Linked DNA regions of Stegostoma tigrinum. The protein of the gene in region 1 purifies or fractionates together with the protein of each later gene. This does not show direct contact. Links are inferred from orthologs where the notes say so. Each region holds a gene or a part of one and is shown in the gene's direction. Other genes may lie near its edges.

Region 1 (7,931 bases):
ACTATGCACAATTTTGCTCTTTTGAAACCATTTAATTCATTAAGTCTTGTTTTTATAGACGTTTAGGTACCGCATACCTTAAGGTATGTGGGCTATACATGTTTAAATCCATGTTCCACTTCACTTTCACATATCTCAAAGTGCTGATGCCAACAGAGATTGGTGTTATGGATGTAGATTTACCCAGAAATCGGATTAGAAAGTAATCTTTCCAGACCATGAGTCCTCAGAATTCCAAAAATACAAAGTACATTGAATAAGAAATATAAGGATAGGCAGCTAGGGCTGAGCTACCAGGTTAAGTTCCAGGAAAAGTCATTCAGACTCAATGTTAACTGTTTCTCTCTCCAGGAATACTGCCAGACCAATTTTTCCAGCATTTTCTGTGTTTGTTTCTGCTTGCTAGCATTTGCAGTGCATTGTTTTTATTGCCAAGTTAAGGTGCTGCATTTTGGATGAGCTGTGTGTTAACCAGTTTCTGTGATAGTAGTTTGTTAGTTTATTTGGCCACTTTCAGCATTGTTGAACCCTTCCCCCAAGGCCTTCTTTTAATTGCATCTGAATGCTACCCATCTTTTTTCTAGGGACCAGAAGATTCAAGAGTCGTAGATGAAGTCTTTTTTCTAATATCCAGAAAAGCTCCCACACATAACTGGGATAACACGGTGTTCAGAAAATTTTCTGAAGAGTCGTGACCCGAAATGTCAAGCTTTCCTGCTCCTCTGATGCTGCTTGGACTGCTGTGTTCATCCAGCTTCAGTGTTATCTCAGATTCTCCAGCACCAGCAGTTCCTACTATCTCACGCACAACTGATTTTTTTTTCTTATCATCAAGTCACCCATGATATTTTTTCATTTATTAACTGCCACCAGTAAATCACTCATGTTTTCCAATTGAATAATTCATGTGCACAGCCCAGTTAAAGGCATTATAGCTCATTAAAGGTGAGGGATAATAGTTGATAACAAGGTGTGAAGATAATAAAATGTGAAGCTGGATGAACACAGCAGGCCGAGCAGGAAAGCTGATGTTTCAGGCCTAGATTCTTTTTTATATCCAAAGGGCTGTTATACATAATTAAGTGATGTTTTTCCACATTACTTTTTGTTTACATCTATGAACCAAGAGTGAATTACCTGTGTCTTACAATTGACTAATTTACATGCAAAGCTCTTATGGACAGTACAACCTATTAAAGGTTAGGGGGCCAGATTGAGTGTTTCATTTATCCAGATCAGCTCTGATACAGAGATAACAAGGTGTAGAGCTGGATGAACACAGAGGGCCAAGCAGCATTAGAGGAGCAGGGATACAGGCCCGACCAGTCCCCCTCCACCGACACTCTCATCCGCCTAGCTGAACTCGTCCTCACACTCAACAACTTCTCTTTTGACTCCTCCCACTTCCTACAGACTAAGGGGGTGGCCATGGGCACCCGCATGGGCCCCCACTATGCCTGCCTCTTTGTAGGTTACGTGGAACAGTCCCTCTTCCGCACCTACACAGGCCCCAAACCCCACCTCTTCCTCCGGTACATTGATGACTGTATCGGCGCCGCCTCTTGCTCCCCAGAGGAGCTCGAACAGTTCATCCACTTCACCAACACCTTACACCCCAACCTTCAGTTCACCTGGGCCATCTCCAGCACATCCCTCACCTTCCTGGACCTCTCAGTCTCCTTCTCAGGCAACCAGCTTGTAACTGATGTCCATTTCAAGCCCACCGACTCCCACAGCTACCTAGAATACACCTCCTCCCACCCACCCTCCTGCAAAAATTCCATCCCCTATTCCCAATTCCTCCGCCGCATCTGCTCCCACGATAAGACATTCCACTCCCGCACGTCCCAGATGTCCACGTTCTTTAAGGACCGCAACTTTCCCCCCACAGTGATCGAGAATGCCCTTGACCACGTCTCCCGTATTTCCCGCAACACATCCCTCACACCCCGCCCCCGCCACAACCGCCCTAAGAGGATCCCCCTCGTTCTCACACACCACCCTACCAACCTCCGGATACAACGCATCATCGTCCGACACTTCCGCCATCTACAATCCGACCCCACCACCCAAGACATTTTTCCATCCCCACCCCTGTCTGCTTTCCGGAGAGACCACTCTCTCCGTGACTCCCTTGTTCACTCCACACTGCCCTCCAACCCCACCACACCCGGCACCTTCCCCTGCAACCGCAGGAAATGCTACACTTGCCCCCACACCTCCTCCCTCACCCCTACCCCAGGCCCCAAGATGACATTCCACATTAAGCAGAGGTTCACCTGCACATCTGCCAATGTGGTATACTGCATCCACTGTACCCGGTGCGGCTTCCTCTACATTGGGGAAACCAAGCGGAGGCTTGGGGACCGCTTTGCAGAACACCTCCGCTCAGTTCGCAACAAACAACTGCACCTCCCAGTCGCTAACCATTTCCACTCCCCCTCCCATTCTCTAGATGACATGTCCATCATGGGCCTCCTGCACTGCCACAATGATGCCACCCGAAGGTTGCAGGAACAGCAACTCATATTCCGCCTGGGAATCCTGCAGCCATATGGTATCAATGTGGACTTCACCAGTTTCAAAATCTCCCCTTCCCCTACTGCATCCCTAAACCAGCCCAGTTCGTCCCCTCCCCCCACTGCACCACACAACCAGCCCAGCTCTTCCCCTCCACCCACTGCATCCCAAAACCAGTCCAACCTGTCTCTGCCTCCCTAACCGGTTCTTCCTCTCACCCATCCCTTCCTCCCACCCCAAGTCGCACCCCCATCTACCTACTAACCTCATCCCACCTCCTTGACCTGTCCATCTTCCCTGGACTGACCTAACCCCTCCCTACCTCCCCACCTATACTCTCCTCTCCATCTTCGGTCCGCCTCCCCCTCTCCCCCTATTTATTCCAGTTCCGTCTCCCCATCCCCCTCTCTGATGAAGGGTCTAGGCCCGAAACGTCAGCTTTTGTGCTCCTGAGATGCTGCTTGGCCTGCTGTGTTCATCCAGCCTCACATTTTATTATCTTGGAATTCTCCAGCATCTGCAGTTCCCATTATCTCTGATACAACTGAACATTTTTTTCCATATCACCCTTTGTTTTGCATCTATTAACCACTCAGAGTGAATCACCCATGTTTTACAATTGACTAATTTACATACAAAGCCCATTTTGAGCAATGCAAAACACCAAAGGTGAGGATAAGGTGCCACATGAGTTTTTTTTCCCCATCACCAAATCAAACGCCCACCCCCCACCAATCCCATTATTACCCACCCCGCCAAATCGCCATGTTTTATAACACTAGGTGCACAGGGCGTTAGAGGGCAATGCAATGCAATGTGAGGTCAGTAATAATGGGAACTGCAGATGCTGGAGAATCCAAGATAATAAAATGTGAGGCTGGATGAACACAGGAGCACAAAAGCTGATGTTTCGGGCCTAGACCCTTCATCAGAGAGGGGGATGGAGTGAGGGTTCTGGAATAAATAGGGAGAGAGGGGGAGGCGGACCGAAGATGGAGTGAAAAGAAGATAGGTGGAGAGGAGAGTATAGGTGGGGGGGGGGGGGGGGGGGGGGGGATAGGTCAGTCCAGGGAAGACTGACAGGTCAAGGAGGTGCGGCTTGGGGTGGGAGGAAGGGATGGGTGAGAGGAAGAACAGGTTAGGTAGGCAGAAACAGATTGGACTGGTTTTGGGATGCAGTGGGTGGAGGGGACGAACTGGGCTGGTTTTGGGATGCGGTGGGGGAAGGGGAGATTTTGAAGCTGGTGGAGTCCACATTGATACCATTGGGCCGCAGGGTTCCCAAGTGGAATATGCGTTGCTGTTCCTGCAACCTTCGGGTGGCATCACTGTGGCACTGCAGGAGGCCCATGATGGACATGTCATCTAAAGAATGGGAGGGGGAGTAGAAATGGTTTGCGACTGGGAGGCGCAGTTGTTTATTGCGAACTGAGCGGAGGTGTTCTGCAAAGCGGTCGCCAAGCCTCCGCTTGGTTTCCCCAATGTAGAGGAGGCCACACTGGGTACAGTGGATGCAGTATACCACATTGGCAGATGTGCAGGTGAACCTCTGCTTAATATGGAAAGTCATCTTGGGGCCTGGGATAGGGGTGAGGGAGGAGGTGTGGGGGCAAGTGTAGCATTTCCTGCGGTTGCAGGGGAAGGTGCTGGGTGTGGTGGGGTTGGAGGGCAGTGTGGAGCGAACAAGGGAGTCACGGAGAGAGTGGTCTCTCCGGAAAGCAGACAAGGGTGGCGATGGAAAAATGTCTTGGGTGGTGGGGTCGGATTGTAGATGGCGGAAGTGTCGGACGATGATGCGTTGTATCCGGAGATTGGTGGGGTGGTACGTGAGGACGAGGGGGATCCTCGTAGGGCGGGTGTGGGGTGTGAGGGATGTGTTGCGGGAAATGCGGGAGACGTGGTCGAGGGCGTTCTCGATCACTGTGGAGGGAAAGTTGCGGTCCTTAAAGAACTTGGACATCTGGGACGTGTGGGAGTGGAATGCCTCATCGTGGGAGCAGAAGCGGCGGAGGCGGAGGAATTGGGAATAGGGGATGGAATTTTTGCAGGAGGGTGGGTGGGAGGAGGTGTATTCTAGGTAGCTGTGGGAGTCGGTGGGCTTGAAATGGACATCAGTTACAAGCTGGTTGCCTGAGATGGAGACTGAGAGGTCCAGGAAGGTGAGGGATGTGCTGGAGATGGGCCAGGTGAACTGAAGGTTGGGGTGGAAGGTGTTGGTGAAGTGGATGAACTGTTCGAGCTCCTCTGGGGAGCAAGAGGCGGCGCCGATACAGTCATCAATGTACCGGAGGAAGAGGTGGGGTTTGGGGCCTGTGTAGATGCGGAAGAGGGACTGTTCCATGTGAGGTCAGATTGGGTTGTGGTGCCGTACCTGTTCTTGATGCAGTGTTGAGAGTTGGGCCTGCGATCCCGCCCTCTGGGAGGCTGTCCGCTCGCTGCTGGAGGAGGAGGAACCTTGCTGTTCTGGAAGATGGCGGCGCCTGACGGTTGGAACGCCGTGCACATTCCACGGCCGGGCTCGTGCTGTAGCGTGGCCGCGCCGCCTGCGTGCCGTTGGCCACACACAGGTACCGCAGCGGCACGAGCTTCCCGCTCACACTGCTAACGGTCACATACACTGTGTCTGTCTTTCTCGCTCACTCATACTGCTAGGCCCAAGTATTTCACATTAACTCGGAAAGCTATGATCGGTTTACTGCAATGAGGAAAGTTGGAACCGTCTTAGTTCCCCGCGTGTGCCAGCTACGTTACTCAAAAAGCAGAAAGTGCTGCAAAAGCTCGGTAGAGAGAGGAAAACCGTTAACGTTTAGAGTCCAGGTGTTTCTTCGAAACCCCGAAGTTTGACTCTCGCTCGTTTTATTAATTCATTTTCTTTCAGTATGTAATATATTCTGCTGTCACCGTTTCTTTCCCAGCCTCCCTCAATGGCTCCAGTTTTGGTTTAATCATTGTGTTTTACATACACGTGCGCAGCTTTATGGAAAAGAACGCTGGAAATGTTCGGCAAATCTGCGATCGCTTATGGAGAGAGAAATAGTTATTAAATGATGTTTGATGGTGACAACATTGTCTTCTGCCCTGCATAGTGAGCTAGAAGAATTTTTGTGGGGTGTGGGAATTTGCTGGCACTGTTGTAGCATGCGTTCAGTTCTGGTCTCCCTGCTGTACGAAGGATGTTGTGAAACTATCAGGGTTGGAGGGTTTGAGCTACTGGGAGAAGTGGGCTGGGGGCTGTTTACCCTGGATCATTGGAGGCTGAAGGAGTGACCTTACAGAGGTTTATAAAACCATGAGGGGCACGGATAGGGTAAATAGACAGGTCTTTTCCCCAGGGTAGGGGAGACCAAAACTAGGGGGCACCGACTTGAGATGACAGGGAAGAGACTTAAAAGGGACCTAAGGGGTAACTTTTTCACGCAGAGGGTGGTGTGTGTGGAATGAGCTGCCAGAGGAAGTGTTGGAGGCTGGTACAATTAATATTTAAAAGGCATCTGAATGGGTATATGAATTGGAAGGGTTTAGAGGGATATGGGCAAAATCCTGACAAACGGTACTGGATTATTTTAGGATTTTTTTTGGCGCGGGTGAGTTGGATTGAAGGGTCTGTTTCCATGCTGTACAGCTGTATGAGTCTTATGTTTAACATAGATGCCATTACAATTCACTACAAATAACTGGATAACTTATTTAAATTTCCCCACAATTCAAACTGAAATTGGCATCTAATTTTTAACCTCCCTGTAGGTTTTATGAAGTTACTGGATTTCATGTTGATTCCTATTTCAACTTGCTGTTACAAATTAGGACTGATAATCAAGTACCTTTTTTGTGACCTGCACAAGGACGTAATGTCTCTGGTCTAGGAAGGGAGCATTTGAAATTGGAATTACTTTCATACAGATTGTAAACTGCTTTAGACATTTTTAAAATTTGAAGTTTTGTTTATTTCTTCCTCATCTCTCTAGTAAACAACTTTCATTTCAACTATGCGTGATAATGGGAACTGCAGATGCTGGAGAATCCAAGATAAAATGTGAGGCTGGATGAACACAGCAGGCCCAGCAGCATCTCAGGAGCACAAAAGCTGACGTTTTGGGCCTAGACCCTTCATCAGAGGGTGAAGGGTCTAGGCCCAAAACGTCAGCTTTTGTGCTCCTGAGATGCTGCTGGGCTTGCTGTGTTCATCCAGCCTCACATTTTATTATCTTTCATTTCAACTAATTTCCCTTTACCGAATTTTATTCTAAGGTATGGTGGTAGTTGGTCAGGCAACATCTGTAAGTTTTCTATAGATGCTATCTGGTCTGAGTATTTGCAGGATTTCTTGTTTTTAATTTGATGTCAGCATGTGTATTTTATATTACTGTTTTTCCTACTGTCATTTGTGTTTGTCTCAGATATGTTGGCTGAATTGCTACCACAGTCCTCTCTGAGGAATGCCTGTGGTTCAAGATTTTGAACACAAACAAGGCCTGTGCTTCAAATGAAATACTGAATATGTTGGCTTAAACATGATGACGTTATGGATGTGAGTTTGCTCGCTGAGCTGGAAGGTTAGTTTTCAGACGTTTCGTCACCATTCTAGGTAACATCATCAGTGAGCCTCCGACGAAGCGCTGGTGTTATGTCCCGCTTTCTATTTATCTGGTTAGGTTTCCTTAACCAGATAAATAGAAAGCGGGACATAACACCAGCGCTTAGTCGGAGGCTCACTGATGATGTTACCTAGATTAGTGACGAAACGTCTGAAAACGAACCTTCCAGCTCAGCGAGCAAACTCACATCCAGAACCTCAACCTGAGCTACAAATCTTCTCCAAATGATGACATTATTTTCAGAGGAAGTCTGGAAAGCATCATATGTCCTGGGCAATATTTATCTTTCAGTTCAAGAATGACAACTTATATTTTTATAGCACCTTTTAACATGGTACAAGACCCCAAGGTGCTAAGCAAATAACAATAAGATACAATTTAACATGGTATCCAAAAAGAAATATTAGATCAGATCACCAAAAAATGATTTTAATGAGCACACAGAGGCAGAAACATGACCATAAGTGGTGAAGGAATTAAAATCTTTGTGCGTGTTAAGTCAGGGTTGGAGAAATGTAGGGTTGTTAGTGTGTTGTGATGCTGGAACAGATTAGAGGTAAAGAGGGCCAAGGCCATGGAGGAGACATTTGAATTCCAGGTATTTCTGGACTAGGATCCAGATGGCAGATCTAGATGGTATGAAGTTAAATACAGTGGATGCCCACAGACAATTGAAGATTCAAGCGCATAGGCCTTTAAAACACCACAAACAGTTATAATAAATAATAAGAAAGCTAATGGAACACTGGCCTTTATATCTAGAGGACTGGAATATAAGGATGCCAAAGTTATACTGCAGCTACACAGAACTCTGAT
Region 2 (7,895 bases), on another chromosome or scaffold:
TTGGAATAATTGGGCATTTTCAGGTGCTACTGGTATCAGTGCTAGTACCACAATTATTAAGAATACATATTAATGACTTAGATGATGAAAGTGAATGTACTGTAGGTAAGTTTGCAGATGACAGAAAAACAGGTGGGAATGCAAGTGATTAGTTTGACAAAGAGTCTGCAGAGGGTTGTTGGGCAGTTAAATAAGTAGGCAAAAACTTGGCAGATGGAACTTATTGTGGGGAAAATGACATGTTATGCACCTTAGTTGAACAGTAAAGCTCAATGTTATTTAAACAGGAAGACTGCAGAAAGCTACAGAATGATTTGTGTGTGCTCATTCATGAATCATAAAAAGCGAGCATCAGAGTTTAGCAGGTAACAGGGATGGCAAATGGAATGGTGGCCTTTATTCAAAGTGAATAGAGTTTAAAGTAGGAAAATTATGCTTAAACTATACAAAGTACTAGTTAGATGAAATCTGGGATACTGTGAACAGTTTTGGGGCCCTAATCAAAAGGAAGATATCCTGACATTGGAGTTAGTCCACAGCATGTTGTTGCGCAGAGGTACCTGGGAACCCTTGTGCATGAATCACACAAGGTTAGCTTGTAGGTGCAACAGGTAATTAAGAAGACAAATGGAATTTTGTCCTTTGATGCTAGAGGGATTGAGTTTAAAAACAGGGAGATTATGTCACAGCTGGATGGGGTGCTGGTAGGGCCATAACTGGAGTACTGCATGCAGTTTTGGTCTCCTTACTTGAGAAAGGATGTAGTGGTATTGGAGGAGGTACAGAGGAGATTCACTAGGTTGATTCTGGATTTCAGAGCTTTGGTTTATGAGCACAGCTCAAGTGGACTGGGATTGTATTCATCGGAATTTAGAAGAATGAAGAGGGATCTTACAGAAATACATAATTTTATGAGATGAATAGCTAAGACAGAGCAGGGAGAATGTTTCCATTGGCAGGTGAAACTAGAACAAAAGGGCATAGCCTCAAAATTAGGGGGAGCAGACTTTGAATTGAATTGAGGAGGAACTTCTTTACTCAAAGGATTGTGAATCTGTGGAATTCCTAGCCCAGTGATGTAGTTGAGGCTTCCTCATTGAATCTTTTTCAAGCTAAGATGATAATTTTTTGAACAGTAAGGGCAATGGTCAGAGGGGATGAACTGCTCCTCCTTCTGGTCCTTATGTGAAATTCAAATTGTCACATAGTAAAGGCACCAATTAACCCGAGTAGGTGATTCACAGATGGCATTTTTTTTTTCTTAAGTGCTTTTACTTTTCTCATCTGGAGTGAACTACTTGAGGACGAATATTGTAGTCCATGATAGTAGTCCATTCCCAAGCGCTGAAAATATCAACATAAATACATCTTGTAAACTTGCAATACCTAATGTTGGCCACTAGAGCCTGCAAATAATCCAAAACAAGAGAAGCAAAGTCTTTTCAGAATTATCAAATGTAAGACAAGTCAGTAAACAAGCAGGCAACTGGAATTTGGCTTTCAAAAATCAGTCTGTATAAATGTTACTCAGTAATTTTTATGTATCCATTGACTGTTTAAAACAAATAAACCTTTCACTTCAGTCTGTTTTTAAAACTGACAATATTTTAAATTTATTGAAAATTTTTGAATGAACCAAAAGTTCTGTCCCCTCTAAGTGCAACTGGGCATTCTGAAGGTTGCGTTTCCACCAGGTGTTGAGTCATACTGGAGAGAGAACCAATGATGTATTTCCTCAAACTCAGCAGATCCCAAGGTCCAAATTAAGATGATGGTGACATAGTGGTCACAATAGACAATAGATAATAGGTGCTGGAGTAGGCCATTCGGCCCTTCGAGCCAGCATCACTATTCATTATGATCATGGCTGATCATCCACAATCAGTATCCTGTTCCTGCCTTATCCCCATAACCCTTGATTCCACTATCTTTAAGAGCTCTGTCTATCTCTTTCTTGAAAGCATCCAGAGAGTTGGCCTCCACTGCCTTCTGGGGCAGAGCATTCCATATATCCACCACTCTCTGGGTGAACAAGTTTTTCATCAATAGACAATAGTGGACTGATAATCCACAACTTCAGAAAGGACTTGAGAAAGGATGTAGTGGTATTGGAGGAGGTTCAGAGGAGATTCACTAGGTTGATTCTGGATTTCAGAGCTTTGGTTTATGAGCACAGCCCAAGTGGACTGGGATTGTATTCATCGGAATTTAGAAGAATGAAGAGTGTTCTCAACACAAATCTAGTGTTCTGAGTACGAGTTTGAATCCCACAATGGCAGATGGTAGATTTTGAGTTTAATTTTTAAAACCAAATTAAAAGTCTCAAGATGACCATAAAATAATTTGTCTTAAAAACACATCTCATTGTCTTTTAGGATGTAAACTGCTGTCCTTTCCTGGCCTATGTGACTCCAGGCTCACAGCAATGCAGTTGACTTGTAATTGCTATGCCTATCCAGGCAATTAGGGAAGGACAATATGTGTCGACATCCCTTGAGCATATGAATAAAAATAAAGCAATAACGTCTGATTAGGTTACTGAACCACACAGCTACTGGCATAAGGTACAGCAAATTCAAAAATCAATGTCACGACTCAAAGAGTGGTGTTAGGAAGGGTGTTGATTCTTGACAGCAATATAGAGGGAGCTGTAGATGGGCTTCACGTGAATTAGGATGGGATCTCTGACCTGATAAACTAAGAGGAGGGCAGGAGAAGTAACATTAAACTGCTCATTATCTGAATGCATTAAATAAGGAACAAACCAGAGAGATAAATGACAATTGAAATTGCAGGGATATATCTACAAAGTGATCAAGGATGGGAAATAAATTTTAATATACTGAAAGAACGAGAGAAGAATAGTATTGAGAAAGGATCATGGCCCAGAAGATCAGGAAGCCAAAACACTATGAGTTGAAGATCAGGAATAATCAGGGAAACATTGGTGGGAGAATTTACAGGATCCTGATGACAGCTATACTATGTCACAGTAGGCTGCAAGGATCAGTTTAGGACCACAGGTATTTACGATGTATTTTAATGACTTAGATAAAGCAACTAAGAGAAACAAATCTAAACTAGTAGATGACACAAAGATGGTTGGGAATGTCAGCTGTAAAGTGAGGAGGACACAATGAGGCTGCAAGAAATTATGGACAGTTTAAGTGAGTGGGCAACAATGGGGCAAGTGGAGTGACATGCTGGGAAATGCAAGGTTAGTATTCAGTTTGGCATTAAGAACAAAAAAAATTTAAAAGGTGTGAAACTTATAAATGTAGATGTTCAGAAAGACTTGCTAAATGCACAAATATTCATGTGGAGTAAACAAATAAGAAGACAAGAATAGCCTGTACTTTAATACGATCAGAGTGCAGAAATACGGTCTGTTCAAAGTTTTTGAGAAGATTTGTAGCTCAGGTTGCTGGCTTGCTTGCTGAGCTGGTATGTTTGTTCACAAACATTTAATCACCATTCTAGGTAACATCTAGTGTCACCTCTGGATTGGTTTCTTATTGTTTGGTATATGGGGTCCAGCTCTACATGTTCGTTAATGGAGTTCCGGTTTGCAGGCCCGGCTTCCAGGAATTCTCGTGCGTGTCTTTGCTTGGTACTATCATTCATTTCAATACACAGACAAAGAGGGACACCAATTCAACAGGGACAACGTAGCCATCATAGGACTAGCCAAACAAAGATACACATAAGAACTCCTGGAAGTGTGGCACTCAAACCAGAACTTTGTTAACAAACATGTGGAGCTGGACCCCATACACCACCCACTAATAAACAAATCTAGAAGTGATGCCACCTACTCCAGCTAACCGAGACACATAAGTATCAAGCAGGACAGAACACCAACGCTTCACTGGTGAAACATTCATGATGTTACCTAGTATGGTGAGAAAATGCTTGCAAACAAACTTGCCAGCGCAGTAAGCAACGAACAACAGGATCTGTTCACTGACAACAAAGATTCCCCAACATGCATGTGGCACTGTGATATTACTGCCAAGTACAAAAAAAGTTCTACTTTTGGAGTATGTGACTTGATATGTTCTCATTAAAACTCTCATTATTTTGTATTTTTAACTATTCTTTTATCTATGACAGATATTATTGCTAATGCACATGATCCTTGGCAGCAGAAAACATAGCTGCAGAAATAAAGAAGCCTTGCTTAAACAGTGGGACGACATCTTTAAGACTGTGTGTATAGCTTTAGACTGAACAGTTAAGGACAGAATTTCATTGGAAACAGCATACTTGGTTCAACAGATCCATTCCTGTGATAAAAAGCTAAGTACACTGGATCACTCTTCTTTGTAAAAACAGACAAATGAGAGATGATTCGATGTAACATACAAGATTCTGAAGAGACCTGAAAGGGTGGATCGGGAACGTAATTCAAACCCTACCACTCTGGTCTCCATTCCCATCACCAAGTCCCAGCCCCTCTCTCTCCGGTCCGATATCCCTTCTCCATCATCTCTTCCCCCAATTCCATCCACTCCCTCCACCCTTCACCCACCTGCCCAGTCGTATTTTTCCGCTCGCTGTCACCAACACCACTCCCTCCCCAAAGAACACCTATCCGACCTGTCTCTATCTGCCCTGCCCATTCCACTCCGCTCCAGCCGGGCAGCACCTGTCCCGGCCTCTCTCCCACTGGCAGTACCTGATTTGTTTTATTACTATCACATGTAGGTACAGTACCTGTCCGGCCTGCCGCCCTCTCTCTCCGTACAGCCGAGTCTCGAGTTTCTCCAAACGGTCCTGCAGCCTCTTCAGCTCCGCCATTGTCAGCGCCACTTCCGCCCAACGGCGGAAATTACGTCAGAGGGCCCGGGCCCAGGACCAGGTGCGAGGCCTGGGCTTGGGATCCCGGTGCGGATAGGACTCGGGTTGGGAAGTTGCGGGGTAACTACCAGGAGCTGCTGAATAGACGGTGCCGTGGTAACGAAACTGAAAAAAACTCGGCAGGTCAGCCTTTTCGGAAAGAGAAACAGAATTACTGTTTGTTGAGAAGCGGGATGGGTTAGAAATATCAGAGCTTTGGGAGCAGCGACAGAAAAAGAGAGTAGCAAATAACGTCAAATAGCGAAGTCTGAATGATTAAGGGGAAGAAATGATGTGGTAGTGGCGGTGCCGGTGTTGGATAAGGTCAGAAGTCACACGACACCAGACAATAGTACTCCTGAGATGCTGCTTGGCCTGCTGTGTTCATCCAGCCTCACATTTTATTATCTTGGATTCTCCAGCATCTGCAGTTCCCATTATCACCAGACTATAGTCCAATAGGTTTATTTGAGAACACAAGCTTTTGAAGCCTTGCTCCTCCTTCAGGTATTAAGGTAGAGAGGAGCAGCCTTCCAACTGTATCAATTTCAGATCATAACCTTTGATCCCATTTCAAGAGCAGAGGAACAGGGCTAGGCTATTCGGCCCAGAGATCCTGCCCTCCCATGCCAGATGGGCAGACTTTTAAAGCCCCTCATTCTCAAATTTTCCTCCTTTAGATTCCCCACCTAAGGGAAATGTTTCACTTTCATTTATCTTAACTATTGCTTTAAATATTTTGTAGGTTTCAATGAAATTTGTATTCATTCTTCAATACTGTAGAAAGTACAGGTCCACTTTGCTCAATCTCTGTTCATAGGCCAGTTCTGCCATCCTGAGAAAATTCTGGTGACTTTTCATTACAGTCTCTCTGTAGCAATAATATCTTTTCTGTGATAGAGGCCAAAACTGCACCCACTACTCCAGGTGTGATCTGGACAGTTGAAGTGAGACTTTGTGACTTATGCACACAGATTTACATCTGATCCATACAACTCTATTTTGCCTTGCACCTTCATTGATCCTCTAATCTCTCTTTCATCCATAGTCTCACATGTGCACATTTTTTCTCGCAACCTTTGACTTCTCTAAACTTGCTTGAAAATTGTGACATCTCTAACTTTTGACAGTTTTGATAAGAGGCCATTTATCTGAAAGCATTGTCTCTGGAGAAACAGGGTTACTGTCTGACCTGCTGAATATACCTAATGTTTTAAATTCTTATTTTAAATTGCAGGTAGCCATTGTATGTGCCTTTTATTTAAGTGCCAATCTTGACTAAAGCTCAGAGTCTGAATGATGGTGAATAGCAGTCCTGCAGGACTGAATTCAACAAAATATCTAGGGTGATACTCTTGAAAAGTACTGAGGGAGTCACAGAACATAGAACATAGAAAAGTACAGCACAGTTCAGGCCCTTGAGCCCACGATGTTGTGCCGTGGAATAATCCTAATCCAAAAATAAAATAACCTAACCTAAATTCCCCTCAATTCACTGCTGTCCATGTGCATGTCCAGCAGTCGCTTAAATGTCACTAATGAGTCCGCTTCCACGACTACCACTGGTAAACTATTCCATGCGCTCACAACTCTAGTCAGTAATGTTATCTTTCAAATAAGGATGTTAAATTAAGGCTCTGACTGCTCTGATCACGGTAAAAGACCACATGCCACTGTAGCAGAGAAGGTTAGTTATTCCTAGCTAGAATGAAAATAATTGAATAATTTCTTTGTTAGCCGTGCTTGGAGAATGAAATTGCGAGCGCATGGGATTTAATCATTTACTCGTGTTTGGATATAATTATTCTCCATTCACTCTGTTTTGTTGATTAAATTACTTGCATAAAGTGCAGTTTCTTGATGGTATTTGGTTTTTGCAGAAAATGTTTCCATCTTGACTCCTGTGGATTATTTGCTATTATATGCTATCAAGTTGCACTTCCAGCTGATTACTTGACAGTGCATTGGCTATTAGTTATCTGAATATGGATCATAAACATCATGTGAAATTAGATATTTTGAGAAAAGCTCTGTACTTTTCTGGAGTTTAGAGACATCTGAGAATGGTGTGACATCGTGCCTCTAAAGCAGTAGATTAGGGAACAATTCATGCTTAGCTTCTATCAAATAGAATCTAAAATTCAGAGATTCTGGGGCATATACGAAAATGACTGGCTCCAAAGATGTTAGAAAATAGAAATGTTTCAAATGAAATTCACATGTTTAAAATGAAGATTGGGTGAGAAGGATGTGATGTGAGCAATTAAAAATATGCACAAAGCACTTGCTGCTAATGTAGTACCACAAATGGAATTTCACTCTGAAATGTTTTTTAATGTAAAGAATACATGCACCACTCAATTGCGATTGAACAATAGCTTGTGAAGAATCAATTCAATCTGCTGTCGTGTTCTGCTGGTTTACCTCAGTTGCTGCCATAGCAAGGTACTTTTGTTGTCTTCAATCTTCAAAGTAGCAGAAATCACACTTGGTATTCTCCTAAATTCAGCACTCATGGGCATATTTGGATGTCAAATGCTTCCATTGTCAAGTAACTTATTATCATGTGTAATGTCATCTAAAAGAACAATTCGGGTTGTTATACTTGGATGAGTCAGCATTTTCAGGAAGGTAAACGTATAGTGCATTTTTAAGTTTGCAATAAATTAGAATGGCAGACAAAGTAGACATTCTAGATTCTTAGTTTTCCAGCTGTAAGTAATTGATATTTATATATTTATATTTACAGGTTCTGATTTCCATCACTTCAGAATTATAAGACATTTCTCAAAATGGAAAATTACCAAAAAACAAAGATCACAGAACTCCCTTGTCCACAGCCAATTGCCAATCTTCCAAAAGATATTATTGAAATGAAGGTGAAGGAAGGTAGCAAAATCCGAAATCTCATGGGATACGCCATTGGAAAGATGGAATCAGCCAATATCAGAGAGATCCTTTTTACCGGCACTGGGAAAGCTGTCAGCAAAGCAATCACGTGTGTGGAGATCATGAAGAGAAGATTAAAAGGTCTCCATCAAATTACCAAGTTGTTT

What was found.
Region 2: the proteins of nepro (region 1) and rpp25l purify together in Homo sapiens (affinity purification with mass spectrometry; 3 studies listed by BioGRID and IntAct, with this or other methods). This does not show direct contact. The link is inferred for Stegostoma tigrinum from reciprocal best matches to the Homo sapiens genes RMP64 and RPP25L.

Annotation. Positions count from the first base shown.
Region 1 is NC_081359.1:2,544,213-2,552,143, reverse strand, and holds the start of nepro (nucleolus and neural progenitor protein), read left to right. Parts: upstream 1-4,849; 5' UTR 4,850-4,990; coding exon 4,991-5,087; intron 5,088-5,104; exon of another isoform or gene 5,105-5,337; intron 5,338-7,931. UniProt on the Homo sapiens protein: May play a role in cortex development as part of the Notch signaling pathway. Downstream of Notch may repress the expression of proneural genes and inhibit neuronal differentiation thereby maintaining neural progenitors.
Region 2 is NC_081354.1:146,847,194-146,855,088, reverse strand, and holds the start of rpp25l (ribonuclease P protein subunit p25-like protein), read left to right. Parts: upstream 1-4,828; 5' UTR 4,829-4,983; intron 4,984-7,588; 5' UTR 7,589-7,631; coding exon 7,632-7,895. Other genes in the region: dctn3 (dynactin subunit 3), read right to left, coding at 4,717-4,800. UniProt on the Homo sapiens protein: May be a component of ribonuclease P or MRP.